6 linked regions of the Sus scrofa genome follow. The main gene of each other region encodes a partner of the protein of the gene in region 5 in a complex. Links are inferred from orthologs where the notes say so. Each region holds a gene or a part of one and is shown on either strand. Other genes may lie near its edges.

Evidence for each region.
Region 1: PRPF6 (region 5) and LSM5 share a complex: the UniProt entries of both Homo sapiens proteins name them as parts of the U4/U6-U5 tri-snRNP complex. The link is inferred for Sus scrofa from reciprocal best matches to the Homo sapiens genes PRPF6 and LSM5.
Region 2: PRPF6 (region 5) and LSM8 share a complex: the UniProt entries of both Homo sapiens proteins name them as parts of the U4/U6-U5 tri-snRNP complex. The link is inferred for Sus scrofa from reciprocal best matches to the Homo sapiens genes PRPF6 and LSM8.
Region 3: PRPF6 (region 5) and TXNL4A share a complex: the UniProt entries of both Homo sapiens proteins name them as parts of the U4/U6-U5 tri-snRNP complex. The link is inferred for Sus scrofa from reciprocal best matches to the Homo sapiens genes PRPF6 and TXNL4A.
Region 4: PRPF6 (region 5) and LSM7 share a complex: the UniProt entries of both Homo sapiens proteins name them as parts of the U4/U6-U5 tri-snRNP complex. The link is inferred for Sus scrofa from reciprocal best matches to the Homo sapiens genes PRPF6 and LSM7.
Region 6: PRPF6 (region 5) and LSM4 share a complex: the UniProt entries of both Homo sapiens proteins name them as parts of the U4/U6-U5 tri-snRNP complex. The link is inferred for Sus scrofa from reciprocal best matches to the Homo sapiens genes PRPF6 and LSM4.

Annotation. Positions count from the first base shown.
Region 1 is NC_010460.4:40,750,924-40,755,835, reverse strand, and holds the start of LSM5 (U6 snRNA-associated Sm-like protein LSm5), read right to left. Parts: upstream 3,447-4,912; 5' UTR 3,354-3,446; coding exon 3,308-3,353; intron 3,297-3,307; exon of another isoform or gene 2,420-3,296; intron 2,305-2,419; coding exon 2,209-2,304; intron 1,374-2,208; coding exon 1,346-1,373; intron 643-1,345; coding exon 570-642; intron 191-569; coding exon 158-190; coding exon of another isoform or gene 103-157; 3' UTR 1-102. UniProt on the Homo sapiens protein: Plays a role in pre-mRNA splicing as component of the U4/U6-U5 tri-snRNP complex that is involved in spliceosome assembly, and as component of the precatalytic spliceosome (spliceosome B complex).
Region 2 is NC_010460.4:28,122,980-28,127,718, forward strand, and holds the end of LSM8 (LSM8 homolog, U6 small nuclear RNA associated), read right to left. Parts: intron 3,239-4,739; coding exon 3,111-3,238; intron 2,195-3,110; coding exon 2,104-2,194; 3' UTR 1,137-2,103; downstream 1-1,136. UniProt on the Homo sapiens protein: Plays a role in pre-mRNA splicing as component of the U4/U6-U5 tri-snRNP complex that is involved in spliceosome assembly, and as component of the precatalytic spliceosome (spliceosome B complex).
Region 3 is NC_010448.4:127,974,182-127,978,385, reverse strand, and holds the end of TXNL4A (thioredoxin-like protein 4A), read left to right. Parts: intron 1-2,821; coding exon 2,822-2,993; 3' UTR 2,994-3,222; downstream 3,223-4,204. UniProt on the Homo sapiens protein: Plays a role in pre-mRNA splicing as component of the U5 snRNP and U4/U6-U5 tri-snRNP complexes that are involved in spliceosome assembly, and as component of the precatalytic spliceosome (spliceosome B complex).
Region 4 is NC_010444.4:76,245,222-76,250,467, forward strand, and holds the start of LSM7 (U6 snRNA-associated Sm-like protein LSm7), read left to right. Parts: upstream 1-1,803; coding exon 1,804-1,950; intron 1,951-2,042; coding exon 2,043-2,133; intron 2,134-4,864; coding exon 4,865-4,936; intron 4,937-5,246. Other genes in the region: SPPL2B (signal peptide peptidase-like 2B), read right to left, coding at 1,746-1,805. UniProt on the Homo sapiens protein: Plays a role in pre-mRNA splicing as component of the U4/U6-U5 tri-snRNP complex that is involved in spliceosome assembly, and as component of the precatalytic spliceosome (spliceosome B complex).
Region 5 is NC_010459.5:62,817,924-62,822,402, reverse strand, and holds part of PRPF6 (pre-mRNA-processing factor 6), read right to left. Parts: intron 3,180-4,479; coding exon 3,061-3,179; intron 476-3,060; coding exon 397-475; intron 1-396. UniProt on the Homo sapiens protein: Involved in pre-mRNA splicing as component of the U4/U6-U5 tri-snRNP complex, one of the building blocks of the spliceosome.
Region 6 is NC_010444.4:59,497,779-59,502,757, reverse strand, and holds the start of LSM4 (U6 snRNA-associated Sm-like protein LSm4), read right to left. Parts: upstream 3,199-4,979; 5' UTR 3,083-3,198; coding exon 3,080-3,082; intron 2,831-3,079; exon of another isoform or gene 2,770-2,830; intron 1,108-2,769; exon of another isoform or gene 668-1,107; intron 1-667. UniProt on the Homo sapiens protein: Plays a role in pre-mRNA splicing as component of the U4/U6-U5 tri-snRNP complex that is involved in spliceosome assembly, and as component of the precatalytic spliceosome (spliceosome B complex).

The sequences.
Region 1 (4,912 bases), on a different chromosome or scaffold from region 5:
TTTACAAAAATTGACATTAACAATGCCTCTTCAAAGCATTTCCCTTTAACGGGAAACTTGGCTTCACAGAATCCAAATGTTCATTAAAAGTTTAAAAAAAAGTTACATTTTGTTGTCATAAGACAAAACAGAATCTAGCATAAGTGAAGAAATCCATTCATACTTCAGGTCCTTCTCCTCCAGGAACCAGCTGCAAAAAAGGAAAAAGCTTAAAATCATCACTACTACACAATATAAAAACCCCTACTGAGAGCTCCCCATTGACTAAAGCCACACCACTTTGCTCCTCCCCCATATTCCCATTTTCTCCAAGTCACTGCTATTTTACAATGCCACCACCCTCAATACTTAATGTCTCCACAATGACTCTTGGTAAAATAAATGATTAATAATCACAAACTAATCTTAGGCCTAATGTCATCTTTAATGGCTTTAGAGCCCTGACCACCAGCATCCCTTTCCCATTTTAAGTACCACTGGGCCACAAGCATTTAGACAAGTTAGTTCTGTAATCCCTGCCCCATAAAAATGGCTTAACATCTAAATAAAATAGCTTTACTGTATCTTACCATTGTTATATTATTTCCATTTAGCAAAATTTGATCTAACTTAGTAATTCTTCTTCCTTCTGGTGTGATTTCACTAAACAGATTTTTTAAAAAGTCAGGATAAAAATAAAGAAAAAATTAAAACAAAACAAAAAGTCAGGATAAACAGTGATTGTCAAAGCCAACATTTTGATTCCCCCAAAAGGCTAATTATTATATATAAATGAAAACATGAGACAAAAGTTATCCATTGGTTTATTCTTCCCCACAGGGAATAGAGTTGACGGGCTCATCTAAGATCCACATCCACTAGGGCTGATCTTCACTTAAAAAGCTAAAACTTGCCTAGGAGATCAAATATGAAATAAAATGTTTACTATCCTCATTTTTTTTAACCATTCATTTGCTTCTGCTTCCTATCCATTATACCATTCTGTAATCAATTCAATTCTGAAAGCAGATCTACTACTGGTCACAATCTTTATAATTAATATAATTGAGCCATCATTTACATTTTCTATATTCAATTCAAAGTATTAAATACTTTTGATCTGAGCCCTAAGATCCCTCACTGCTTTTAGTGTCTTTTACCTTAAAGCTTTGTTTCCACTAATTTCCTAACAATTAAGGTAATAATCCTACAATCCAATTTTACTAACCTCAGTCATAAAATTTCTATGTTAGTGATTCAAACAGGCAGTGTTTTCTCATACATCATTTTACTGACTCAACAGTGCTACAACTGCCTTAAAGAGAGATTCCCCCTGCCCAATTCTTTAATTTTTAACACTACTCACAATTCAGTGACATCTTCCAGTACCATATCTGAAATTTGGTGTTAAGAAAATATATACCATGTTAAATTTACTCTGGCTTCTGTCTTTGTTCAGTTTTAATTATAACATTGGGAGTTCCCATCATGGCTCAGTGGTTAACAAATCCAACTAGGAACCATGAGGTTGCGGGTTCAATCCCTGGCCTTGCTCAGTGGGTTAAGGATCTGGCGTTGCCATGAGCTGTGGTGTAGGTCGAAGATGTGGCTTGGATACATCATTGCTGTGGCTCTGGCGTAGGCCAGCAGCTTACAGCTCCGATCAGACCCCTAGTCTGAGTACCTCCCTATGCCGAGGGAGCGGCCCTAGAAAAGGCAAAAAGACAAAAAATAAAAATAAAAAAATAACATTTAACATAATGACTCAAATTCAAATTGCTTGCGATTGGTAGGGGTACACACACCCCTTAAAACACTACCACGAATTCCATGAGAATAAATTAATTTTTATTATAATAATCAGTAAGCACTGACTATAGTTCTTACTTTTTTAAAAAAAACTGAAGATGGAGTTCCCGTCGTGGCGCAGTGGTTAACAAATCCGACTAGGAACCATGAGGTCGCGGGTTCCGTCCCTGGCCTTGCTCAGTGGGTTAAGGATCCGGCGTTGCCGTGAGCTGTGGTGTAGGTTTCAGATGCAGCTCGGATCCCGCTTTGCTGTGACTCTGGTGTAGGCCGGTGGCTACAGCTCCGATTCGACCCCTAGCCTGGGAACCTCCATATGCCATGGGAGCAGCCCTAGAAAAGACATAAAAAATAATAACAAAAAAAAATTTTTTTAATTAAAAAACAAAGAAAAACCCATACCCCCACTTTTTAAAAGGATACTGACAAAGTCATCAAATCCGAGAAGCGTGCCAACAATCTCTTTATCACTCTTCATCACAATGTGAATTCTTGATCCTATACACTTGTCTACAAGCTCTATAGATACAGGTTTTTTAAAAGAAAAATAAGTGGGGGGAGGGGTGAAAAAAATTATTTTGCACATTCATTACTTCAAGAAATATGTGAGTACTTACTGGCACTTATTACTTACATATGGTGAAAGATAAACCAAGAAAAGGATTCACTCAAAAACTTCAGGTCTCGGGAGTTCCCGTTGTGGCGCAGCAGAAACGAAGGCCAGCAGCTACAGTTCCAATGGGACCCCTAGCCTGGGAACCTCCATGTGCCTCGGGTGCGGGCCTAAAAAGAAACTTTTTTTTGTTCAATGAAGGAAAAAACTTTCCAATTACCGCCACGTCCACTAACTTAATTACCCTTCAGATACAAAATATTAGAAAAAGACATAACTGTCTTCCCCAGCCCCAAGACGGCTATCCTCTGTTCTCTGAGAGCAGCTTGAATATCTCTTCAGCAGAATTACTGTTACTTGGTATGATGTTTAATTGTCTGGCATCCTGTCTCCTGCGCTGGCATGAATGCTACCTGAAGCTAAGTTACGATGTCTAGTCTACAGATGCGCAAAAACTGTTTGTGGAATAAATGAATGACAATCAGAGCTAATTTCCAGTGTCCCCTTTTAAAGCTCATTGCAGACCCCGCTACCTCTCTCAATAACGGGCCAGACAGACAACAGGGTCTAACCTAGGGATTTTAAATGCCAGGTAGAAGAATGGGACTGCTATCCACTACTGTAAAGGCGAACTCACAACAAAAAAGGCCGACGACGCATTCACTAAGTGTGAACCTTTTCCAGTGACGGTTTGGTGTGAGAACTCAGAAAGTCCTGGCTCAAGAAAACCCTTCCACGCCGAAAAGACGCGGGCGGCCTGAGGCCTCAGAGCCTTAGAGCCCAAAGAGCCGCGGATAAAGAAAACAATTGGTCAGATACATTTCTCTAACACTCAGTCAAGGACTGCGCTGGCCCTCGGCCCGCAACCCTTCAGCTCCCCTCCCCAGCTCCCCACAGGACAACGATTACCTAGAGGTAGCAGCTGCGACGGGTTAGTCGTAGCGTTAGCCGCCATGGCTACGCCGGAAGTGGCCAGCCTCTACCGACGTTGGGAAGGCGAGTTTGAAAGAGCGCGCTTCCGCTTTTTTCCCCTAGCCCGGCCAGGCTCGACCAATCTGAGGCCGAGCGTGCGATCGGGCCAGTCCTACGTGAATCGCTCGGAGTCACTTCTTTCCTCCGCAACGAGATCCGGGGGAATACATCAGTGCGTTGAACATTCTGCGGCCTCAGCAGATACTTTGCCCTCCAAGTTTCCAAGACAAATTAAAGATATCTTGCCTTATAAATAAAATATTCCTCAACCTGGAAGACTGCAAAATAGAAACGTTTGAGTCGTTTGATTTTCCCTGGGTTATATTTCATTTCAACCAAGGATCTTCTGAAGACCAACATAAATATTTTTTCCGCCACTGATTTTATTGTGTTGCAATTTTTGTTAAAAAACAAAAGCAAAAACTTTTTTTTTTTACAGGAATCTACCGCTTTTTTTTTTTTTTTTTTTTTTTTTTTTCTTTTTAAGGCCACAGAGCAGATACATGGAAGTTCCCAAGCTAGGAGTCAAATCGAGCTGCAGCTGCCGGCCTAGCCACAGCCACAGCAATGTGGGTTTGAGCCGCAGCTCGCAGCAACAAGGGGATCCTTAATCCACTGAACGACCCCAGGAATCCAACACACGCTCAGGTATACTAGTTGGATTCTTAATCCTCTAAGCCACAAAGGAGAACTCCCTACCTTTTTTTTTTTTTTTTTTTTCTTTTCTTTTCTTTTCTAGGGCTGCACCTGCAGCATATGGAGGTTCCCAGGCTAGGGGTCTAATCGGAGCTGTTGCTGTCAGACTACGCCAGAACCACAGCAACTGCCAGATCCAAGCCACGTTTGCGACCTACACCACAACTCAGGCACAACGCCGGATCCTTAACCTACTGAGCGAGGCCAGGGATCGAACAGGCAACCTCATGGTTCCTAGTCGGATTCCTTAACCACTGAGCCACCACAGGAACTCCCCTACCTTCTTTTAAAGGTTCAGTGTAGGAGTTTCCATTGTGGCTCAGTGGTAAGGAACCCAACCAGTACCTGGGGACAGGGGATTGGATCCCTGGCCCCACACAATGGGCTAAGGATCCGGGGTTGTCATGAACTGCAATTGTAGGTCTCAGACGTGGCTGGGATCTGCTTTGCTGTGGCCTAGGCCAGAAGCTACAGCTACGATTTGATCCCCTAGCCTGGGAACCTCCATAGACTGCAGAGTGCGGCCCTAAAAAGACCAAAGGAAAAAAAGTTTGCAAACCCATAGCTAGCTTTAAAGAAATACTTTTCTGGGGGTTCCCCTCGTGGCTCAAAGGTAAGGAACTGGATTAGTATCCTTGAGGACAAGGGTTCAATCCCTGGCCTTGATAAGTGGATTAAGGACCTGGCCTTGCTCTGAGCGCTGGTGTGGGTCGCACAGGTGGCTCTGATACAGTGCGGCTGTGGCTGTAGGTAGGCCACAGCTACAGCTCCAATTCAACCCCTAGCCTGGGAACTTCTATATGCGTGGGTTCGGCCCTTAAAAAAAAAAAAAGAAAAAAGAAAGAA
Region 2 (4,739 bases), on a different chromosome or scaffold from region 5:
GGGACTATGGTTTGTTTACTGGTTTCTGTGTAATTTTTGTTCGGTCAAGATATTGAGAAAGCATCTGACTCTGAACATCATATATGCTTAGAATACATTTCACTTGGCAACTGAATGATTTGTATTCCTTATTTGATTTTTGGAATTAGTTTACCAATTTAAAATTTCGCTATTTTATTTAACTAGAACATCTGGTTTACAGTCTCTATAATTAAAGTGGGCTTTTTGTTTTACCCACTTTGCATTATTTTCATTTTATTACTAACTTGATTATAAAACATTATATTACAAAAACCAAATATTTATGAATAGCCAGTACTAGCTAAACTTCCTCTAATCCTCCCAGACACAGCCTTAAACACAGGAACATCAACCCACCTATTCTGGGTGATTTTGCTTGATGACCAAAGAGAACTATCTCAACAGTTCTCACAAGTCGTTTCTGTGAAAATATTTTTCTCTAGAAAATGTTTTATTTGTGAACAAAAAATTAACATGTCTAATAAGTAGTTTTCAGTGTTAAAAAACATGAAATCCACCTTTAAACTCAGAAAGGATCCATTCCAGAAGCCCTTTTCAGAATTTATACATTTTGCCATTATCTCTTCCTATTCCGTCTGCATTTTTATTTTGAGGCAGGGGTCAGCAAAGGATGGCCTGTAGGCCAAATAGAGCCTGCTACCTCTTATTGTAAATAAAGTTTTATTGGAACACATTCATGATTATTAATTTATATATTATCTATGGCTGTTTTCTTGCAATAACAAAAGTTGAGGTATGAAGGAGACCATAGGACCCTTAAAGCTTAAAATAATTAGTATCTACATATTTACAAAAAGAGCTTGCCAACTATTTTTAAACAGTCATTAAAAAAAAACTTGAAATTTTGTTTCAATTACAAGGATATAAGCATTTTTCCATTCTTATCACAAAGTTACACACTTTGGCCTACAGATGACTCTCGCTGAGAAATCCGGTGGACTAGCCTGGATATCTAAATACTACTTGTAACAATGTTTCTATGGACTCTTAAAAGTATAAACAACCAAGTGTGAAAACAGCCCATGGGTGGATGAGGGGCATTTATCTACTTAATTGATTTCACACAAATAATAGACCAAAGAACAGGACTGACATGCTTGAAGAAAACATGTTTACTTCTTTTGAAATTGGGTTCATGGAACTAGGGAGTCATGGAAAGCTGTTGACAATAATAGCAAGCACTGCCTCAATATAAACTTAAGGTTTATTTACTCACATTTAAAAACAATAGAACACTCCTTTACTACTAGAAATTCCCCAATTCTTAAAATTAAAAGCTAAGATGACTTTTAAGATTGTGTGCAATCAATAGTTTTTTTCAGATAATAGACAACTTTGTTAGCATTTTTCCTTTTCTCAACCAAACACACTTTTTAGTAAACCACACTTACAAAGTGCTAGGGAGCAACTGCCAGGGCAATATGATAAACAGGAATGGTTTAGATAACTACAGGAGACAAGACTTACCATCTTATAACTTTCTTAAAAATCAGGGAAAGATGGAGTTCCTATTGTGGCTCAGAGGTTAAGTACCCAACACTGTCTCTGTGAGGATGTGGGTTTTATCCCTGACATCGCTCAGCAGGTTACGGATCCTGCATTGCTGTGGCTGTGGCCTCAGCTGCAGCTCTGATTAGACCCCTAGCCTGGGAACCTCCATATAACAAGTGTGGCTGCCAAAAAGAAAACAAAAAAAGGAAAGAAACATACGTATCCTGCACTATTGGTATTTGTATGTTTAATTTAAATAGTACATGAATTTCTCTTTCCAACTAGTTTTCCACAAGTATTAAAATATATCTTTTCTAAAACTTCTCAAAATAATTAGATTTTTACACTATTCAATCAAAAAATAAAACCAAGCTAGCAAATGTATGATTTAGACCAAAAACAGTTTTTCATGAAAATGTAGAAATATTTTAATTTACATATCATATTACAATGAATCAAAATGGAGTCAAAATCCACAAGGACACATTCATAAAAAATTCTGCACAGTATCCTCAGAATAATCAGTTTCTGTACAAAGATTTACAGATGTCCATCATATGTAGTTTTTTCTCAGTGTGCCACAGAATTCAGAGGTTCTGCTCGAATATTTCCCAAATCAAGTGCCGAATCTGTCTCTTCATCAATCTCTCCAATGACTGCCCTGTAATTATTTAAGGGGAAAAAAATAAATCAGTTTAAACAATCTTATTTCTGACTGAGAGAAGATGGTAAAAAAAAATACTTAAGGTGAAAAACATTTTTATAAGGTAGTGAATTACATATGGCCAATTTCAAGGTACCAACAGACATGATCTACCAGCTTGCAAAACTCCTTGAAATATAAAAATCTGCTTCTATGAGTCAGTACAAGCTGGCTCCAGCATACTGCTAGGTCTACAACAATGTTTCTTTTTTTTTTGGCTTTTTAGGGCCACATCTGTGGCATATGCAGGTTCCCAGGCTAGGGGTCAAATCAGAGCTATAGCTGTCGGCTAATGCACAGCCACAGCAACACTCAATCCAAGCCATGTCTGTGACCTACCCCACAGCTCACGGCAATGCAGGATACTTAATCCACTGAGCGAGGCCAGGGATTGAAGCTGCATCCTTATGGATGCTAGTCAGTCAGATTTGTTTTCTGCTGAGCCACAAAAGGAACTCCTTAATTTTTTTTAAATTGAAGTTTAAAGTAGAAGAAAAAGTCTTAAAATCAAATTTACAAATTAGAAGAAAAAAGTAATGGATAAGTACTTATTTATAAATTCAGCTAGGTTACAAAGCAATAATTATTTAAAACTGTTCACACAAGAGATTTCAAAGACATTTTCAAACGCTAGCCTTGGACCCTAGATATATATTTATGTTCCTTTGAAATTAGGAGTATTTTGGAAGAACACTTTAAGAAGCCTCTCCAATGACGTATTCAAGGCAGGGCCCTTTCTGGACCCCATCCAGGCTACTTAACTATTAGAAATTCAGACAAATCTCGGTAGATAAAAAACCCTTCTCCATATAGCAAGGCAGTATATATCTATAGTATATTTAACTTGCCTTAAAAAAAGACATGTTTTACTTACACATTGTCTCCTCTTACGATGTATAACCCTAGTACCACTTGTTCTACTCCCTGTGAGGAACTGAACACTCGTTCATGGCTTTCATCCAAAATCAAATTAATGGTCTGGTCAAAGCCTTTCAGGGTTCCCTGTAAAAGAACATTCAAGAGAAAAAGACAAATATTCTCATTTACCTGAATGTGTAAATTCAACCACACAACAAATTTAGTTGCCAGGTACTCCAAAAGAAGTACCCATTTTAAGTATATGTAAGTCCACTGGAAGATAGAATGCTTCTTTATGACCAACAGTATTCACATTCTTGGGCATTTACCTCTTGGTTTTTTTTTGTGGGGGGGGAACCCACCACGCTTCTGACTAGTGTGCAGAGTTGTTGAGAACTACAGGGACGCCTATGTACTAGTTTATTTCCAAGGAAAGAGCATAAAAGTCCAGGTAGTCCAGGAGCTAATATTCTAAAGATACAAACTAAAACAAGGGAAACTTAAGGGAAATATTCCTATACATAGCAGCTATAGCAATGTAACAGTATCATTTCATGTTACATACCAGTAAACATGCTGCACACATTATCTAAACAAATCCCTATCCTTTGCCTTAGATGCTATAAATATTCCTACTTCAGAGGAGAAAAATTGAGGCACAAAAAAGTAATCTCTCAAGGTTTCATGGGTAGAAATAGCAGTTAGAATCTGAACCGTGAAAGGCTAGCTTCAGAGCCAAACCCCTGATCTATATTATACCAAGCAAATAGAATTTACCACTTTTCAGAGATTCAAATCAATTCCATAAATATACACAAACTTCAACTGGTAATAACAGCTAAGATTTGAGTACTTAGTATTGCAAAACAGTGTTCTATGGGCTTCATGTGGATTTACTTATTTAATCCTCCAGTAATAGTTGATACAAATGTGACTGTAACAATTAGAACAATCTAGAATTTGCAGTAACTATTCAGAGAAAGTTTTATGGAAGAAGCTTGGTTCTTAATAAAGGAAGACATAAGCCTAGTACAACATAGTAATTCAGATGCTATTGAAGTTTCTAAAGACACATCAACATATTGGTTTTAGTTGGTTAAATCTCTCAAGCTCACCATTAAAGTTGCTGTTTTGAAACTCTATATAAAATCAGAATGAAATAAAGAGAAAATGTTAACTTAGAATTTGGAAGAGAAACAAAATATGGAGTATTTACTAAACTAGCTAGCAAATAGTTCTAATCACACCCATACATAACTTCTTGGCTTCATTTACACATAACTGTTCTATGAAGTGAGCCATGTGTCAAAGAAATACAAACTACTGAACTTTAGTGCTCAAAATGCCTTTTAAAAATGGCTTTCCTTCTTCTATCAAGTTAAAATAATTTTCCAATTTATTAACCCATCTTGTTAACAAAACAAGAGCATTTAAACTTGAGATTTTCATAAAATAAAAAAAAAACCTATTTACAAACATTTGTTAACAATAGGCTTCTCAAAGTTAAGAAGAGATTAAAAGATTTCAAACTGTCCTTACTTGACAAAGTACAATGTGAGCTACCTTAAAAAACAAAAACGTGATTTTCTCTTAAGAAGAAAGCAAGACAACTGGCCTTAGTTTTGGAATTAAATCTAACTGAAAT
Region 3 (4,204 bases), on a different chromosome or scaffold from region 5:
AGCTTGCTGGTTGCTTCCTGGGAGAAGATCCTGTCCTTTGAACATTCTGACCTTTAGGTCTTTTCCAGGTTTCAGTAGGTTATGTGGCTTCTGTGTCAAGAGTTCAGCACCCATTTCTGGATTTCAGCATCTTTTGCTATTTGGAGAGGCTGAGAATTTGTTGTTGTTGTTGTTGACAGTTTTTACAACCAGTTTCTCTCTTCTTTTACTATAAGGCCTAGGAAACCAGGCAGTGCCTTCAAGACTTTACTTCTGTGTTCTCAGCTCTTATCCACATGCATCGCTTACAAGTGTCACAGACATTCTGCCACTGTGTAGCAAAGATCCCTTTCCTCCACTCCCTGGAACATGTCCCTAACTCCTTGCAAGTCCATATTTCTACTAACAGGCTATTTAAGGCAATCCAGGCCTTTTCTGTTATGCTTCTCAAAGTTCTCCAAAAGTCCTCCAGGTGGGAATATGGGTGCCGCCTTAGATCCTGCTTCTCACTGCATGTGGCCAGGACAAGTTCTGATGGGAAAGGGGGTTGCAGAAAGGAGTCAGGTGGTGCTGTGCCAGACTGTGTATTTTGCTATTTTAGGATTGATACTGCACTCAGAAAATGAGACAAAATCTTCTACTGTTTCTGCAACCCAGACTTCTAAGACAACTAGTAGTAGTACTTTAATTTATTCCCTAAATATATATAGAGTAACACTAGGTTTCATGTCTAGTTCTGGGACTTTGTCAGATGAGACAGGGTTCCTGCTGTCACAGAACTTCATCTGCTGGCAGAGCTGAGTAAATTAGCACTGGGAAACAGGGAGATGGAAGAGAACCCAGTTCCACTCTAGCATGTTGGGCAAGTCTCAGGAGTCCTGCTGGTGGGATTAAGAAGTCACCTTCGTGAACATAAGCCCACCTGTGACACCAAGGCACCCATTTCACCTTTATGGCCCTGAAGTGTTTTCAGGAACTGAAGACTGGAGACTGAATATCCCATGACTCTTATTCATGGAAGTTCCAAGAGTTTTGGCAACTGTGAGCCAGGAATTATGGATGAAAACCAAATACATATGAGAAATATAGTCATCTCAGTGACTAAATACATGTTTTTCCTATAAATCACAATGTCGCAGCAGGTATTCACAGAGGTACAAATACTTTGAGTAGTGGGAAGTGCTTAAAGCCTGCTGGATGATTTTGGTCGAGCCCCATGCATCTAGCAGGGGCACAAAGGCAGAACAGCTACCACAATTCGGAAACCTGCAAGGAGGTGGGAGGACTGACAGGTGAGGGTGGGGAGGGGCAGGTGGGTGGGGAGGGAGAGCGGGGCAGGGTCCAGATGCCTGGATTCATGGACCAGTGTGAGGAGTTGGAATATTGCCTGGAAGGGAATGTTTGCATCAGGAAAGTAACATCACATTTACTTTTGGAAGCTCACTCTGGCTGAAAGGAGGCCAAACTGCAATTAGGACAGAGCACATATACATGGAACAACAGCTGGGAGCCAGACTTACAACCTTGCAGAAACAGAAGTTAAATTATTAAGAATTAGTGCAGCCTGGAGTTCCCTTTGCAGCTCATCATTAAAGAACCTGACTAGTGTCCATGAGGATTCGGGTGCCATCCCTGGCCTTGCTCAGTGGGTTAAGGATCCAGGGTTGCCGTGAGCTGTGGTACAAGTCAAAGATATGGCTCAGATCTCAATATTCTGTGGCTGTAGTGTAGGCTGGCAGCTGCAGCTCCAATTCAACCCCTAGCTTGGGAATTTCATGTGTCCCAGGTGTGGCCCTGAAAAACAAAAAAAGTTTAAACAAAAAAAGAATTTGTGCAGCTATTACAACAAGGGTTAATATCTTTATTTTTTAAAGGGCCATATAAATTCATTTTAAAAAGCAGCCTTTTGGAGCTCCCGTCGTGGCTCAGTGATTAACGAACCTGACTAGCATCCATGAGGACTCGGGTTTGATCCCTGGCTTTGCTCAGTGAGTTAAGGATCTGGCATTGCTGTGTGCTGTAATGTAGGTTGCAGACGTGGCTCAGATCCTGAGTTGCTGTGGCTCTGGCATAGGACAGCGGCTACAGCTCCAATTCGACCCCCAGCCTGGGAACCTTCGTATGCCGCTGGTGTGGCCCTAAAAGACTAAATAAATAAATAAATAGCCCCTTAAGGGTTCCCTGGTGGCACAGCAGGTTAAGAATCTGTTGGCATGGGTTTGATCCCTGGCCTGAGAATTTTAACATGCCCCGAGTGCAGCTAGTAAAAATAGCTTCCTGGAACGTAAGTTTGTGAAGAATCATGGAAATGCAAAATATATTCATTTCGCAATCAGTAGGACTTTTTTTAAAATAAAAAAAAAAAAAAATTCTGGCCATTCCTGAGGCACACAGCAGTTCTAAGCCAGAGATTGAACCCAAGTCACAGCAGTGACGACGATCAGTCCTTAACCACTGGACTATCAGGAGCTCCCTTAGTGGGGCTTTAATAACATGTATACTAGGTGCTCACAAGAATGCCATGATGAACTCATACATGGCTTTTTTTCAGATAAATTAGTACAACCCTCTGGAAAACAGTTTGGCTTCCCAAGTGGCTAAAACTGTGTCCTTTGACCTTCAGTTACCCTGTAGCTTATTTGTCCTAAGGAAATACAGAAACATGTGGAAGGAGCTTTGCGTGTTTTGTCAAATAATGTTTCGGTTGTTTCCAGTTTCCTAAATCATGGTATACTCTCTGGGTTGTGTTAACTGGTTTTAAGTAGGAAAGGTAAGGCGTGTTTTTCATGGATTCTTTTCCAGAAGGTTCTTTATGAGCATTGTCCCCCTTTCCCTCTTGCAGGAACAAGCATATCATGATTGACCTGGGTACTGGCAACAACAACAAGATCAACTGGGCCATGGAGGACAAGCAGGAGATGATCGACATAATTGAGACTGTGTACCGTGGGGCCCGGAAAGGCCGCGGTCTGGTTGTATCCCCGAAGGACTACTCCACAAAGTACAGATACTGAGCTCCTAGCCGGTCCTGGTGCACACAGGTGCCATGGAGTCAGTCCCACATGGACACAGTCTAAACTCTTGAGAGCATCTGAGGAAGTATGTGTGGCTCAAGGAGCTGGAGGGTTTTACAGTGAGGGTGGCATTGCCTTTACTTTCAGTCTACTTGATCATTGTATTTTTGTATCAGCAAATATCTGTAAATAGCTAAATAAATACAATACCTGGCGACAGGAACAGTCACAATTGTTTATTTCTGAGAAAACTTGATGTTTAGGTTAGTGATTTTGGTAATCAGGGATTAACTTGACCTTTGGAGGGAGGTTCAGGCATGAGTCCTGTGGGGCCACTGTGTTTGCACACTTGTCAGTGAGAATCTGGCTGTGTTTTCTAGGGCTGCTGTAATCCCAGCCTTCATCGTCACATGCTATTCTCCCCATGCGTGTGTGTGTCCAGATGTCCCCACCACTGAGGGCCACCCCACCCCAACATAGCGTCATCTCAGCTAATCACATCTGCAAAGACGGACATCCTGAGGCCCCAGGGTTAGGACATAGGAACAGGGAGAGGCAGAAAAGTACACACTTAAGGAAAAAATTATCTTGTTTTTATGGTGATAAAAATGGTGATAAAATAATGATTTTTGGAACCTTTTAAATGTAAAGAGTAAGAGTTGTTTCTTATTCTGCCTAAGATTATGTCGAATGTACTTAAATACACTGTTTCTCTGACTCTTCAGTACATGTACCTAAGCAATTTCTGTATCCATCCCAAGTCTCTCCTCTGAATCTCTTACTCTAGCAGTGTGTTGTTGTTGGTTAGGATCTTCCCGGGCACGTACATCTTGGTGCCCACGACTGAAATGAAAAGAGTTGTAGAATGTGGAAGCTGCACAGGGGCCTGGTGGAGGCACATTTGGAAGCCCTGCCGGGTCTCATAGCCAGGCTCTGTGCTTACCCAGGACCTCAGGCCAGTGGCCCCAGAGCCCCATTTCCTCCCATGGGAAGGAGATGCCCATGTCTGCTGTCTGACACACACTGCCCAAAGGTCAGTGGAAACAACGACCTGGTGGGCCTGCATGGTGTGGAAACAGCCTTGTCAGATTAACACCCTATTGAATGGTGAGGAGTACTAACCAAACAGTGAAGTCAACAAATACGAAAAAAGACACATGCACGTGCAAGTGTACACATGTACTTGCACACACACAAAGGAGTGTGTTTTG
Region 4 (5,246 bases), on a different chromosome or scaffold from region 5:
GGGAGGGCCACAGGCTCCATCTGCCCTTTACCCTCGGCCTGGAGCCACTCCCCTGACGTTCCCTCCCTGGCCTCCCTGCCAGTGCACCTGAGCCTCCACTGGGATGACACCATTCTCAGGTGGAACCACTGTACTGAAAATACACCAGTTAGAGCGGAGCCACAGCTTCCCCAAATAAAGCTCTCACGCTTCTGCCTGGCCCTGCTCACATCACCTGCAACACCCTCCATCTGCTCTCCTGACCTAGCAAACTCCTACTCGTCCTTCAGAACACCCTGCAGGCACCGCTGCTCCTGAAAAGCATTCCCAGGCCAATTGCATCCCTCATTCTGTGGTGTTTCCATGACCCTCCCCCTGCTTCTAGCTTTGCACTCCTTTGGAATACCCAGACAGCTCAAGGTCCCTGCCTCGAGTTGCTGAGACAGCTGAGGAAAATGAGTGAACAGGGCTCAGGGAAGTACAGGGGGCTGGCAAAGCAGCTAGGGGGGCGTCCCAGAGAGCCTGAGAGGGAGGGGCAATGAAGCTGAGGCTAAGTGTATGACCAGGCAATTCATACACAACCCTACATACAGAACCCTCCCTGGGCCTGGTTCTTCATGGCGCTCAAGAGGAAGACCAGCTCTCCACTGACAGGAGGCTGCTTGCTCACAGCCCTAAACCCACTCCCTACCATTCTGTGACCCTGGGCGAAAGAGAGAAGTGCAGGGAGCCTTCAATACACTAGAGCTGGAAAGGGGAAGCTTCCTGACAGCCAGATCACAGGGGCTTCACGAATGCACCAGGAAGCTGCCAGAAGGCTCTCCTCTGGGCACAAGACATGACACACTTTGAGAAAGATCGCTCCTGCAGTGTTGAGAATGAACCGGGGGTGCAGAGAACAAAAGTGGCCACAGAGGAAAGCCATCTGCCTGGAGCAGAGGTGGAGGGGCTGGAGCAGGCTAATGACCCAGTTTTGGGAGCTGTTGGGGGCCACCACTGCCTAAGCTGTGGAACCTGAGAGAGGGGGAGGATTTGGTAATAAAAGATGCACTTATGACAATGTATATCAGCCACCTCGTGGTAGTTCCCCCCACTAGCACCTGGAGACCCTTAACGTTAAATGACAGAGAAGTAGCATGCTGCGCGTTCATGATCCCATATATCATCTCGCTGACTCTATACTGTACACTTATCTTCCTTTTGCAGACAAGGAACTGATACTCAAAGCGGGGAACTCCCTTGCCAAGGTCATGCGAGCAAAAGATGCGGCGGCGATTCGACCCCACTTCGGGGCTGGGCTCCCGGCTGCGTCCCAACACCGCCAGACCCTGGGTGCCGCGCTGGACAGTTTACCACAACCACGGTCGAGGCAGATAGCGTCGCACTCAAGGAGAAACTGAGGCTCGGAGAGGGGTAGCTCCCAGACCAAAGTCACGAAGCTAGAGGGGCGTCTCTGGCGGCGGTTGGAGACCCCGGGGTGGACAAGCGGGGCTCGGGGCAGGAGAGGGGGAACCCCCCCTTAAGACTCCGGCGGGGCCTGGTGACGCTGCGGCTGGGAAGGGCTTCCAGGCAGGGAAGGCAGACGCGCCGGGGACAGTCCGGCAAGGTCACTGCCGGCCCCGAGCCCGCGGGCCGACCGCGTAGGGGGCACGGACACCCTAGGTTGACCCCCAGGCCAGGCCGAGCGGACCCCTATGCGGGGTCGGGGGGCCAAGGAGTAATGGCACCGCGGATGGCGAGGCCGCCAGGGTCGGCGCCGCCCTCACCTGGGCTGCGAGGAGAACGAAGGCCGCCGCGAGCCGAGCCAGCGATGCCACCGCCGCCATGTCGCCCGGTCCCCGCCGCAGGCGTCGGCAGATGTTTCCCAGCAACGCCTTGGCGCCCCGCGCTGCGCAGGCGCCAGGCGTCCGCCGCGCATGTGCAGGGGGCAGAGGCCAAAGGGCGCGGCGCGGCGGCGGCGGCAAGATGGCGGTGAGCGTGCGGCGCGGCTGGCTTGGCTGGAGGGGCTGGCGGGGCAGAATCTGGCCGCGCTTCCCCCCTCACGCAATGTGCTTTCCTCGCAGGACAAAGAGAAGAAAAAGAAGGAAAGCATCTTGGACCTGTCCAAGTACATCGACAAGACTATTCGGGTGAAGTTCCAGGGAGGCCGCGAAGGTGAGGCCCCGCCCCCTGCCTCCCCCCCCCACTCTCCCCCTCTTAAGGTCCACACGGGGTAACGGGCAGCGGTACTGATGACGAATACCTGGGCGGCGCTTTAATCGTTTAGTTCGGAGAACTCGTGCCGGCTTGCAAAAGGCGCCGGGAGGTAGGAACGATTACGGCCCTGTTGCAGGTGGGGAAACTGAGGCACGGGAAAAGGCCCCAAACTAACCCAAAACCCAGTGGCTGGGATTCACTGCTCTGCCTGCTGTGGTTCTTTCTCACCCAGGTGGCTGCCCCAGCTCCTCACCGTGCTCCTGCACCAGGGTTTCTCAGGCTCGGCACTGCTGACATTGGGGCAGCAGTGTTCTCTGTGGAGGTTTGTCCTGGGCGTTGTAGAGTGTGAAACAGCATCTCTGATTCCCACCCACTTGATGCCAGGAGCCCCCCATTCGTGACGACCACAGACCTCCCAGACATGGCCCACTGTCCCTTGGGGGACAGAACTGACCCGGTTGAGAACCATGGCCCTATGGTCAATTTTTATGAAGCCACCAGAGGGATCTGTTATAAAGAAATCCCATCTCCTTGTTCACGGTTGTTCCAGGGTAAAGGAGGAACCTTTTGCTCCAGAGTAATGCTGGGAGTTCTCAACCGCCACAGGGCTGTAAAGATACTTGTTTTCTCTGTCTTGAGCACCTTTACCAGGTTAACTGGCTACCAAGTTAACTTGGTCATTTCCCCACTGGCAGCTCAATACCATTGCTCTGGGAAGCTTTCCCTGACTCCCCAGCCCAGGTCAGGCCTCTTTGTTATGAGCTTCTACTAGTACCTGTCACACAGTTTGCAGCTTTCTGCTGTTATTGTGAGGCTTTAACTCTGCGTCTCCTACTGGAATCTGGTAAGGAGACTGCAGGGTCATGCGGGCAGTGCCGTCCATGGCAGAGCCCTCTTGTCCACTCAGCTGCTGTGGAACTTTGGGCAAGGCACTATCTTTTCTGAGCCTCAGTCTCTTCCTTTGTCAGAGGCTATTATTGACTCCGCCCACCTCAGCAGTGGGGATTAAAGAGTTCAAGGCAGGTAAAGTGTTAACAGGGTTCCCGATGGAGGTTCCCAGGCTAGGTGTCTAATCGGAGCTGTAGCCGCCGCTTATGCCAGAACCACAGCAACTCGGGATCCGAGCCGTGTCTGCGACCTACACCACAGCTCACGGCAACACCAGATCCTTAACCCACTGAGCAAGGCCAGGGATCAAACCTGCAACCTCATGGTTCCTAGTCAGATTTGCTAACCACTCAGCCACGATAGGAAGTCCCTGACAGATAATTCAAGGTCAACATTTCACTTATTCAGCTTCCTCTGATCTTCAGTTTCTTAAACAGTGCTCCAGATCCCTCCTTCCCTGAGCTGTGGACAGTTGAGTAGCATCAGAATGGCTAAAAGCACAGTCAGTGCCTGCCAGTCGAGGTACCTGGCACAGTGAGGATTTGAACATGCTAGTACCATCCTAGCTCTGAAACATAGGAGATAGGTCTCGTCTCGGGGTGCTTATGTTTGCAACGCTGCGGAGCAAACGGCCACCAGTTAGCTGCTTAAACAACACACGTTTTTATCTCAACAGTGTGCGTGGTTTCTATACTCTGGGTGCCTCAGGTCGCTGACAAGGTGGCCATAAAAGAGTGTCTCTGGGAGCTTGTCATCTGAGACCCAGTTCCTCCTGCCTGCCCACTGGTTGTTGGACTCAGGTCCCCGTATTCTGGCTAAAGTGGGCCAGAGACCCTTTTGGCTCTTGGAGGCTGCCTGCTGCCCTTGCCATGGGCTCTGTCCATCGCCTAGCAGTTTGCTTCTTCAAAGCCAGCAGGAAAATCTCTTTTGTCCAGAAAGTGCCCATTCCTTTAGTAGCTCACCTTTCAGGTTGGGCCTACCCAGCATAGCCTCCCTTTAGGTTCACTGAAAGTCAGCCGACTCTTGAACCTTAATTACAGCTGCGAAGCCTTCTGTCTCTGTCACATGACCACAGAGTGATGTCCCATCGTTGCTCCTGTTCCACACTGAGGGGAGGGGGTTCCCAGGCGTGTTCTCGGGGTGAGGGAATGCCGGTTCTGTCTCAGAATCCTGCCCGCCTGCCACAGTGCACCCGTCCCCTTGAGGGGGGCAGACCCACAGGTGTGGGCTCCCGGCCCCCAGGCCAAGTGCCCGAATGCATTGTCCACTCTCCATAACCCCATGAAGTAGGTTCTATCACAGTCTTTGTTCCGTAGGGGAGGGTCAAGCAGGAAAAGGACGCAATGACAGGGCTTCAAACTCAGGTGGGGCCGACAGACATTTTCTATAGAAGACCGGACATGGAATATTTTCAGCTCTGCAGGCCAGACTGTCTCTTTTGAAACCACTCAACTGCCATTGCAGCAGGAAAGCAGCCACAGGCGACATTTAGCAAATGAACATGGCTGTGAGCCAGTTAAACTGTTTACAAAACAGGCACAAGGTTTCGCTGACTGTTCTGGTGGGGGTGGTTTGGGGTCAGCTGACACTGCTCCCCTTCTGGGAGCCCTTCCCTCGCTTTCTCCTTGGTCCCCTGTCTCCAGAGCAGCTGCTCCCACATCTGCATCTGGTTGCAGGGTGACCCCTTGCCGGTGGGGCACCCCCATCCTGCCGACACCTGGATGCAGTTCAAACCTGCCCCAGGATGACCACTGATCTTCCATCTCTCTGTCTCTCTTCTTTTCTCGGTGATTCTGACAAGCCAGTGGAATCCTGAAAGGGTTTGACCCACTCCTCAACCTCGTGCTGGATGGCACCATCGAATACATGAGAGGTGAGTGCAGCTGGCGGGGCTCCAAGCGTCCTTGCCAGGCTTTCCTTACTGTTCCAAAGTCACTCAGCTGCCACCCAAGTGCTAACCATGAATGTTGTGCCTTGTGGATCAGACGGCTGACAGATGTGTTTGATCTCTCACGGTCCTGGCGAGGCCCAGTAGCCCATCATCTTGAGCCTTCAGAGGTGCGGAGTATTTGCTGATCCGCTCATCACTGACCCTGAGCACCAGTGGGTTTGGAGTGTGCCTGGTCTGGCCAGAAAGATGCCACGGCCCCATGAGAGACCCAGCTGCCCTGGGGTTCCTTCAG
Region 5 (4,479 bases):
GCTGCTGTGGCCCTGGCGTAGGCCGGCAGGCTACAGCTCCGATTCGACCCCTAGCCTGGGAACCTCCATATGCCGCGAGAGCAGCCCAAGAAATGGCAAAAAAAAAAACCCAAAAAATAAAATAAAAAATAAAGTTACACACACAAAAAAAAACCCCAAAAAACTAAAATAAAATAAAGTTACAAATAAACTCAGCCCTTTGTTCCACCTTTTGTAGTGAGGAGAGCGGAGGCTTGTTACATACACAGACACACACACATTAAACACGCTGGAGCAGGGGCCTTCTTCCACCCACTGAATTAAACAAAGGGCAGAGGCAGCAAAATCTCATCAGCTCCGCCTGAGCCTCGGTTCTCGGGAAGGGCATCAGGAATATCATGCCACCCGTCTGCTCACTTTGAGATCTGAGAACTGCTGCTGGATTTTGGGACGCTCCATACGGTATTTCTCAATTTCTTCTTTCTCCCTTTGCTCCCTAGGAAATAAAACGTGTGTGCACACATTAGAAATACTGCATGTCCGTTCTGAAACAAAGGCCTTTTATTATACTTCTTGATCAAACCACCAAAAAACGGAATAGTTCCACACACTCAGGACCTAAATCAAATCTATTTTAAGGCAACAGCGGACACATTAGCAAATTAACTCAATTCCCTACCAGGTGAAAACATGCAGAAATCACTAAAATAAAAGCAAATTTTGTCTTATTCCAATAAATACTTGCATTTGAATACAAGCATATTTACTGCTTTAAAATTATACAAAATTCCAAAGGCAGGGCCATCCTATGAAGACTCAACTCAGAAGCAAATCTGAAGCACTGTCCTAGTTGCCCATCCAACTCTCTACTCAATTTACCTTGCGCTCTTCAAAGGAGAGCTCCCTTCTAACGAACAAGAAGCCTGGCTGCTCCGACTGCCACAACCGACAGGTCTGTGACTTGGGGCCAGGTCACATGTGGATACAAAGAGCCATGGGAAATGGTGACTAAGTAAACTAGTGTGGATGTCCGCCCCGGAGCCAGGGTTCCAGCACTGAGCTCAGACAGGACTCCGACTGTGTGGCGACAAATGATGCGCCTGGAAAGGACAAACCCCTCCACGGGCTAGAGGTGGCCTGTCATCACGGCTCCTGATGGGGCGAGACACACAGACGCACCTGTCGGGTTTTCTGGCAAAAGACATTCCATCTGATTTTAATCAAGCCTCTGGGAGTTCTCTTGTGGCCCAGTGGGTTAAGGATCCAACAATGACACTACTGTGGCACAGGTTTGATTCCTGGCCTGGGAACATCCATATGCCGAGAACGAGGCCATAAAAAAAAGTTAATTAAATAAATAAATATTTTTTAAAAAATCAAGCCTCAGGATCCAATTTCCATTCCACCAAGCAATGCTAAAAGCATGACAGTACAAAGGCACCCTGAGGAGACAGGCAGCCATTCTGGGGGATGGGGTGCAGTTGGGGGGGGTGGCTAAGAGACATGCCCATGAGGGGTTCTGGTTGTGTCCTGGCTTAGAAAAGAAAGCTCGGAAGTTCCCGTCGTGGCTCAGCGGTAACGAACCCAACTAGTACCCATGAGGACATGGGTTCGATCCCTGTCCTCGCTCAGTGGGTTAAGTATCTGACATTGCTGTGGCTGTGGTGTAGGCCGGCAGCTACAGCTCCGATTCAACCCTTAGCCTGGAAACTTCCATATGCCACGGGTACGGCCCAAAAAAGACAAAAAAGAAAAAAAAAGCTGCTCTATGATGCTGTTGGGATAAGCAGGGAAAAGTGGATGCGGACTGGCTACCAGGTAACAAGACATACTGCTCAGTGCTGGGGCCCCACAAAGACCACGTGCAGGTGCAGATGAGGCAGACGTGCGAACTGTAAACAGTGTAGAGACTACGTGGCAGCAGGGGCATGTGTGCCACACTACTCTTCCTGTGTATCTGTGTTTGCGTTGTGACCAGTTTTCAGAAGCCAACCACTTTCGTTGGGGTTTTTTTGGTTTTGTTTTATTTTTGTTTGTTTTTCCTTAAGTCTTTTGTCTTTCTAGGGCCACACCCATGGCATATGGAGGTTCCCAGGCTAGGGGTCTAATCAGAGCTGTAGCTGCCGGCCTATGCCAGAGCCCGCAGCAACGCCAGATCCTTAACCCACTGAGCGAGGCCAGAGATTGAACCCGCAACCTCATGGTTCCCAGTCGGATTCATTTCCACTGCACCATGATGGGAACTCCATAAGCCAACCACTTTCTTAAAACCAGTTAATACAGCAATTCTCTACAAGTATCCATGTCATTCAGGATTCCGGTTTGTTTTTTGGCCACGGGATGCGCTAGTTCCCAGGCCAGGGATCAAACCTGTGCCACAACAGTTGGCAATGCCAGATCCTTAACCACCAGGCCACCAAGGAACTTCTCACTCAGGTTTTGGGGTTTTTTCCTTTTTTTTTTCAAGTTTTCTAAATGAACGAATTCCAGAAAATTGGAATCAAATCATCTTTAATATGCAAAACCACACTTAACTATCACACACACACACACACACACACACACACACAAGTTCCTACACATCAACTCAATAACATGCTTTTGAAAAACTCCCCCTGGAGTTCCCACCATGGCTCGGCAGAAAATGAATCTGACTGGAATCCACGAGTACTCAGGTTCAATCCCTTGGCCTCACTCAGTGGGTTAAGGATCTGGTGTTGCCGGGAGCTGTGGTGCAGGTCACAGATGCGGCTCGGATGTGATGTTGCTGTGGCTGTGGTGTAGGCCGGCAGCTACAGCTCCAATTAGACCCCTAGCCTGGGAACCTCCATGTGCCGCAGTGCAGCCCTAGAAAAGGCAAAAAGACAAAAAAAAAAGAAATAAACCAAAACAGAACTTTCTTTGTGGGGGGCGGGGGGAGGCTTCGCCAACAGCATGTGAAAGTTCCAAGGCCAGGGATCCAACTGGAGCTGCTGCTGTGACAGTGCTAGATCCTGAGCCAGCTGCCCCGTACGAGAACTCCCAGAACACAATTGTTCTAAGAAGCTGGCTAACAGTACGGAGAGCAATCGCTTGTCTTACCTCCTCTCCTTCCTTCTTTCATCCATCCTCTTGTCCAGGGCTGCGTAGATGGCATCTGCTTCCTCGTCGTCTTTCTCGTAGGGCCCGCTGGAGAAGAGACTCCCAGCGTAGCCATTAAACTGGGGCCAAACAGCATAACTTAGACCATCAGTCTTCCCTCCAACACAACCCCCACCAGCAGAAACAGCACAGCCAGCTGCGAAAAGTCTGCTGAACAGGTTTTGTCAACCAGTTGAACCCTAGCTGGAGGTAACCAAAGAGCTGCTGAGCAGTCTTCAAAAGGGTCAAGGGCATGAAAGAAGAACATCTGCACCAATCAGAGGAGGCGAAGGACACAGCTAAACGCAGTGTGGGCCCTGGCCTGGGTCCTGGGCCAGGAGGAGGACAGAGGCAGAAAACCCGTGGGATTCAAGTAAGAGCTACAGGTTAGTTAAGAGTGCCGAGTCAACATTCACTTCCTGATTTCAGCAACAGCACTAGGGTTGTGAGAAGAGGCTTGTGAAGAGTAGGCAGAAATCCTCCATTTAATTTTTAAAGTTCTCTGCAAGTTTAAAATTATTTCTGAGTTCCTGTCGTGACTACAGTGGAAATGAATCTGACTGGCATCCATGAGGACACAGGTTTGACCTCTGCCCTCGATCAGTGGGTTAAGGATCCAGTGTTGCCATGGGCCATGGTGTAGGTCGCAGACGTGGCTCGGATCTGGCGTTGCTGTGGCTGTGGTGTAGGCCGGCAGCTTCAGCTCTGATTCCACCCTTAGCCTGGGAACCTCCCTATGCCGCAGGTGCGGCCCAAAAGACCAAAAAAAAAATTTTTTTTTTCAGAATTGAACTTCTTTTTTCTTTTTTGGCCACACAACAGCATATGGAGCTTCCAGGCCAGGGATCAGATCCAAGCCACAGCTGGATCCCAGAGCTGTGTCCCAGCTCTCCTAAAATGCCACCTATCCTGTCGCATCACAGCAGGAACTCCCAGAACTGAATTTTAAAAATCTTTCCCTCTAAAGAAAAATGCCATCTGTTACAACACATCTGTAGAAAACTTCCATTGACCAAACATCAATTAACCAAGAGAATGAGCACTAAAGCCAAAGAAAGCAAGGATTACCACCAATTCCACTTAAAATTTTCATCATTAAAGATCAGCCAAGGAGTCCCCACTGTGGCACAGTGAGTTAAGAATCCTCTCACTGCAGCTGCTCGGGTTTTGAACAAGTGCATGTTTGATCCCCTGCCCCACACAGTGAGTTAAAAGAGCTGCAGCCGGCTCGGATTCAATCTCTGGCCCAGAAACTTCCATATGCAGTGGGCCATTAAAAAAAAAAAAAAGAGGAGTTCCCATCGTGGCGCAGCGGAAACGAATCTGACTAGGAACCATGAGGTTGCGGGTTCGATCCCTGGCCTTGCTCAGTGGGTTAAG
Region 6 (4,979 bases), on a different chromosome or scaffold from region 5:
GCACAGTGAAAACAAATCCAACCAGTATCCATGAAGATGTGGGTTCGATCCCTGGCGCTGCTCAGTGGGTTAAGGATCCGGCGTTGAAGTGAGCTATGGTATAGGTCACAGACGTAGCTCTAATCCCGTGTGGCTGTGGCTGTGGTATGGGCCGACAGCTGCAGCTCCAATTCCACCCCTAGCCTGGGAACTTCCATATGCTGCAGGTGTGGGCCTAAAAAGGAAAAAAGAAAAAGGAACACATCTGTCTGATGCTGCCTGAGCACAGCAAGCTGTGGAGAAAGAACAGGAGGCTCAGATATGCATGAGGGAGCCACAGAGCCAGGTGGTATTCTATTATAGAGAAGCTCAGGGTTTTCCTGGACAAGCCTGTTTGCTGTATCCACAACGGGAATCAGGACCAGAGCAATGACACACTTGAGTCCTCCTCCCAGATCACCGGAGACGGGGACAGGGCCAGGCCAGCCCCTGTCCTGGAAGGTGAGAATGAAAATGGACTGTGTGGAGAGGTGGAGGGAGTAGGAGTAGCACAGCCAAGGCCCCTCTAGATGAGGTACCAGCAGCTAGGAGGGACACCCAAGGATACAGAGCAAGGTCTGGGTAAAGCCGGGGAAAGCAGATTAATGCCTGTTAGCAGAAGACCCACAGATGTCCTTTTATGGCATACCTTGCCTTCAGGCTGTCTCTCTCAGGCTACCATCCTGTCCCAGCTACGAGTAGCACACCCCTGGAGGACCCACAGCCTTTGCAGCTGTTGCCAGCAGTGTGACCTCAGAGGACGGCAGCGACACAGATGGAACCAGCACCTGCTCACACCCTCCCCTGCACACCCGCTCCCTTGGCTAGCCACAGAGCCAGGCCTGACACGGCTCTAGCAAACTGGCCCGCTCACTTCTTCACACCACGCCTGGTGCTATTGGTCAAACTTTGTTCCTTGGTTCCCTCTACCTGGGGTGCCCTCCCCCAGGCTGGTGACTTCTGCTTCAGCCAGCCCCTCATTATAACCCCATCAAGGGAATGAGGTTTCCACCTGGGCCACCCTCTGCTTCTATTATAGGGTATAGCCAGTCTCTAATTAACTTGTTTATTTATTACGTCTCCCTGGCTAGACTGGAAACACCAAGCCTCTTGCTAGACTGGAAAATTCAGAGGGTGTGGACTTTGTCCAGTGCTGAACACTGGGCCAGGCACATGCAAGGGACTCAGTAAATATTTGCTGACAAATATAGCACATACCACCCAGGGAGGCACTCCAGGCAGGGGGTGGTGACAGGGGTGGGGTGGGGTGGGGAATACTTGCCACACCTCACAAGACAAGGAAAAGGAGAAGCTCAGGTAGGGAAAGGTGGCATTGGGACAGCCCTCCAAGACTTCAACAACCGCAGCAGTGGTCATATCTACTTCCTTGTTCCCAAACGCTGTTGGAGACAAAGGCCAAAGGAAGAGGAGGAACCTGGTGAACTTGAAAGCGAGGGGTATGCTGGGGTGGGGGAAAGCATGAAGGTGCCAGGGATACAGGAGAGGGCAGATCACCCAGTTCAGGGGGGAGCAAGGGCTGTGTGGAATTTGGAGTCATAAAAAGCTTCAGGGAAGAGAATTCTTTTCTCTAGCCTTTCTCAGAACATCTGGGGTCTGGCCCTCAGGTCTAGGTCCATCCACACCTAAATACATTTATTTATTTGCTTTTTAGGGCCGCACCCATGGCATATGGAGGTTCCCAGGCTAGGGGTCGAATTGGAGGTACAGCCACCAGCCTGCGCCACAGCCACATGGGATCTGATCCACGTGTGCAGCTTACACCACAGCTCACAGCAACACTGGATCCTTAATCCACTAAGCAAGACCTGGGATCAAACCCCCAACCTCATGGTTATTACTCGGATTCGTTTCTGCTGTGCCACAATGGAAACTTCCACAACTGGATTTAATGGTGTCCTGAGGTTCCCAACTCAGGAAGCTGCTGATCACCCACTCCCTCACCCAGACCTTGGCTTGGCTTCCGCCCCACCCCGACCACAAGGAACAGGCAGTGTGTAATGCCTTAGCCACTCCTGAACACAGACTTTGCACAGACACTGTTCTAGGCTCTGGCAATATATGAGGATAAAACAGAGATCCTATCTCCATGGAGCTTAACAAATGGATTCTTCCACAGACCAACTCTACCCTCCAGAGAGACGAACAGAGAGAACGAAGCTGCTCCCTTCTCTCCATCCCTACAATGACCAGAAGAATTACTGAACCCTCATGGTCAGCTCCGAAAAATGTGCAGCGACCATCTTAGAGGACTCGAGGGCTGATGGGCCAGGTTCTCTCCCAGCTCAATTCCTCTGTGTGGGCCTCCATTTCCCTGTCTGTCACTCACTGGGGACACAGGCACGCTGGTTTAGATCTCCAATTTCCACAACTTGTGAGATGGCATGGCCCTGGGGAGACTTCCTGCCAGGGCCTCGATTTTTTTGTTTTCTAAACTGGGATACGGTTAGCCCATCCATGGCTGAAAACGCCCCCCCTTCCCCTGGAACCATATGCTGTGTGACCCCGGAAGAAGTTAACCTTGCTTTGGGTCTGCTTTTTAGTCTGAAAAGGAGAGGCATAAGAGGTTGCGCAGCTAGCATTCCAAGGGCAGTACAACCCCCGAAATTCCCCAGATTGGCTGAATTTGAGAAAGAAGGCCGGCCCCCTACTGCCTGGTGCTCTAGCTTTACTGTCTAGGAGGTCAGATCGGGTCGGATGCACTGGGAGCCATTTCCCCGTCCGAAAACTCACTCTGCTGCATTCACCGGGCCCTTCAGCAGGTCCCCTTCCTCTCTGGCCTCAGTTTCCCCATCTGCAAAATGGGAAGACTGCTGCCAGACTGCCATACTGTGATTTCATTTCTATCCAATCCCAAGCTCCCCCGAGACCGACGTGCTTGGTGTCCTGGGAGAAGCTCTTCCACTCTCCGGCCTGTCCTCCCCACCTTGGGCGAAGGGGCAGGACTCAAGGCCCAGATTACAGGCTGGCTCCACAACGCCCCTGAACCAACAACCGCCCCGAGGGCCCTTGGCGGCCGGCTCCCCCGTCGCACCGCCCTCACCATGGTGTCGGCGGGGACTAGGCTCGTGGGCTACTTCCGCCGCCGCCGCCGCTCACGTTCCCGCCGGTAGCTGCAGCTCTGCGCGCCACTAGGCTGAAATGGAGTGGCAGCAACGCGAGCCAGTCAGCACGAGGCTCATGGGAAGGCCAACCAATCCACGCGGAGTAAGGCGGGGCCTATTAAACACGAGGGGCGGGGCGGGCCGCGTTCCTACCGGAGAAATGAGAGAGAGAGTCGTAAAGTGCCGCTATGAGTGCTGCAAAAGGGGGCGGAGCAATGTGCGCCGGCGCAGGAGGCCTTGTGGGTAAGGGCGCCTGCGCAGGTGCAATCTTCAGTGATTTTTCCGGGCTCCACGCTGTGGGCAAAACGGGGTAGTGCCTCCAATTTCCAAATGGAGGAATGGCAGCTCTATGGTTATTGCCATGTGTCCCTTCGAGCTCCTACTCTTCTGATTCTCTTTATTGTAGTTGACCGTTGTCCAGGGCACTTCTTTTGATAGGCTAGACGTACCGGTGTGAACCTCAGTTTGCTTCCCTTTGAAATGGGCTTAATAATAGTGTCTGCTTTAGAAGGTTGCAATGAGTGCCAAGTGATTTATGCCTTGTAAAAGAAGAGTGCCCGGCACGTACTGAGCACTTGATACACGGACATGCAATAAATATTTATTGAGCATCTACTACGGGCCTCCTCCTGGAAACACAGAAGAGAATAAACCAAACAAAACTCCTGGCCCTCCTGAGGTTTAGGAGCCCACTGGGGAGGCAGACTGTAAACAAAATAGACAAATGTATTAGTTTCCTTGGGCTGCCATAACAAATGATCAAACTGGGTGGTTTTATTTTTTTATTTTTATTTGAATATTTTTTGCTTTTTAGGTCCTCACCCATGGCATATGAACGTTCCCAAGCTAGGGGTCGAATTGGATGGAGCTACAGTTGCCTACACCATAGCCATGGCAATGCAGGATCTGAGCAGCATTTGTGGCCTACACCGCAGCTTCCTTAACCCACTGATTGAGGCCAGGGATTGAACCTGAGTCCTCATGGATACCTAGTCCGGTTCCTTACTGCTGAGCAACAACAGGAACTCCAAACTGGGTGGTTTTAAACAGTAAAACTTAATCCGAAAGACTGAAATCAAAGTTTTAGCAGAGTTGGTTCTTTCTGAAGGATCTGAGGGGCAATTCATCCCATGCTTCTCTGCCAGCAATCCTTGTAGTTCTTGGCACAGATTCCTCTGTCATCACATGGTGCTTTTCTTTGTGTGTCTCTGTGTCTCAACTCTTCCTCTTTTTTTTTTTTTTTTTTTTTTGTCTTTTTGCTATTTCTTGGGCCGCTCCCGCGGCATATGGAGTTTCCCAGGCTAGGGGTTGAATCGGAGCTGTAGCCACCAGCCTACGCCAGAGCCACAGCAACGCGGGATCCGAGCCGCGTCTGCAACCTACACCACAGCTCACGGCAACGCCGGATCGTCAACCCACTGAGCAGGAGCAGGGACTGAACCCGCAACCTCATGGTTGCTAGTCGGATTCGTTAACCACTGCGCCACGACGGGAACTCCTCTTCCTCTTTTTTTATGAAGGCATTCCTTTCTCGTATTAGGCCCTTCCTAAACTCAGGTTAAATTTCATCTTGAGATCCTTAATTATATCGACAAAGACTTTATTTCCAATAAGGCCATATTCACAGATATGGGGGTTAGAACTGATCTCTGTTATCGATGTTCTGTTGGAACATTAGCCTGCAGTTGAGCAAGATCAAACATGAAACTATTTTATTTATTTATTTATTTTATTTTTTGTCTTTTTGCCTTTTCTTGAGCTGCTCCCGCGGCATATGGAGGTTCCCAGGCTAGGGGTCGAATTGGAGCTGCAGCCACGGGCCTACGCCAGAGCCACAGC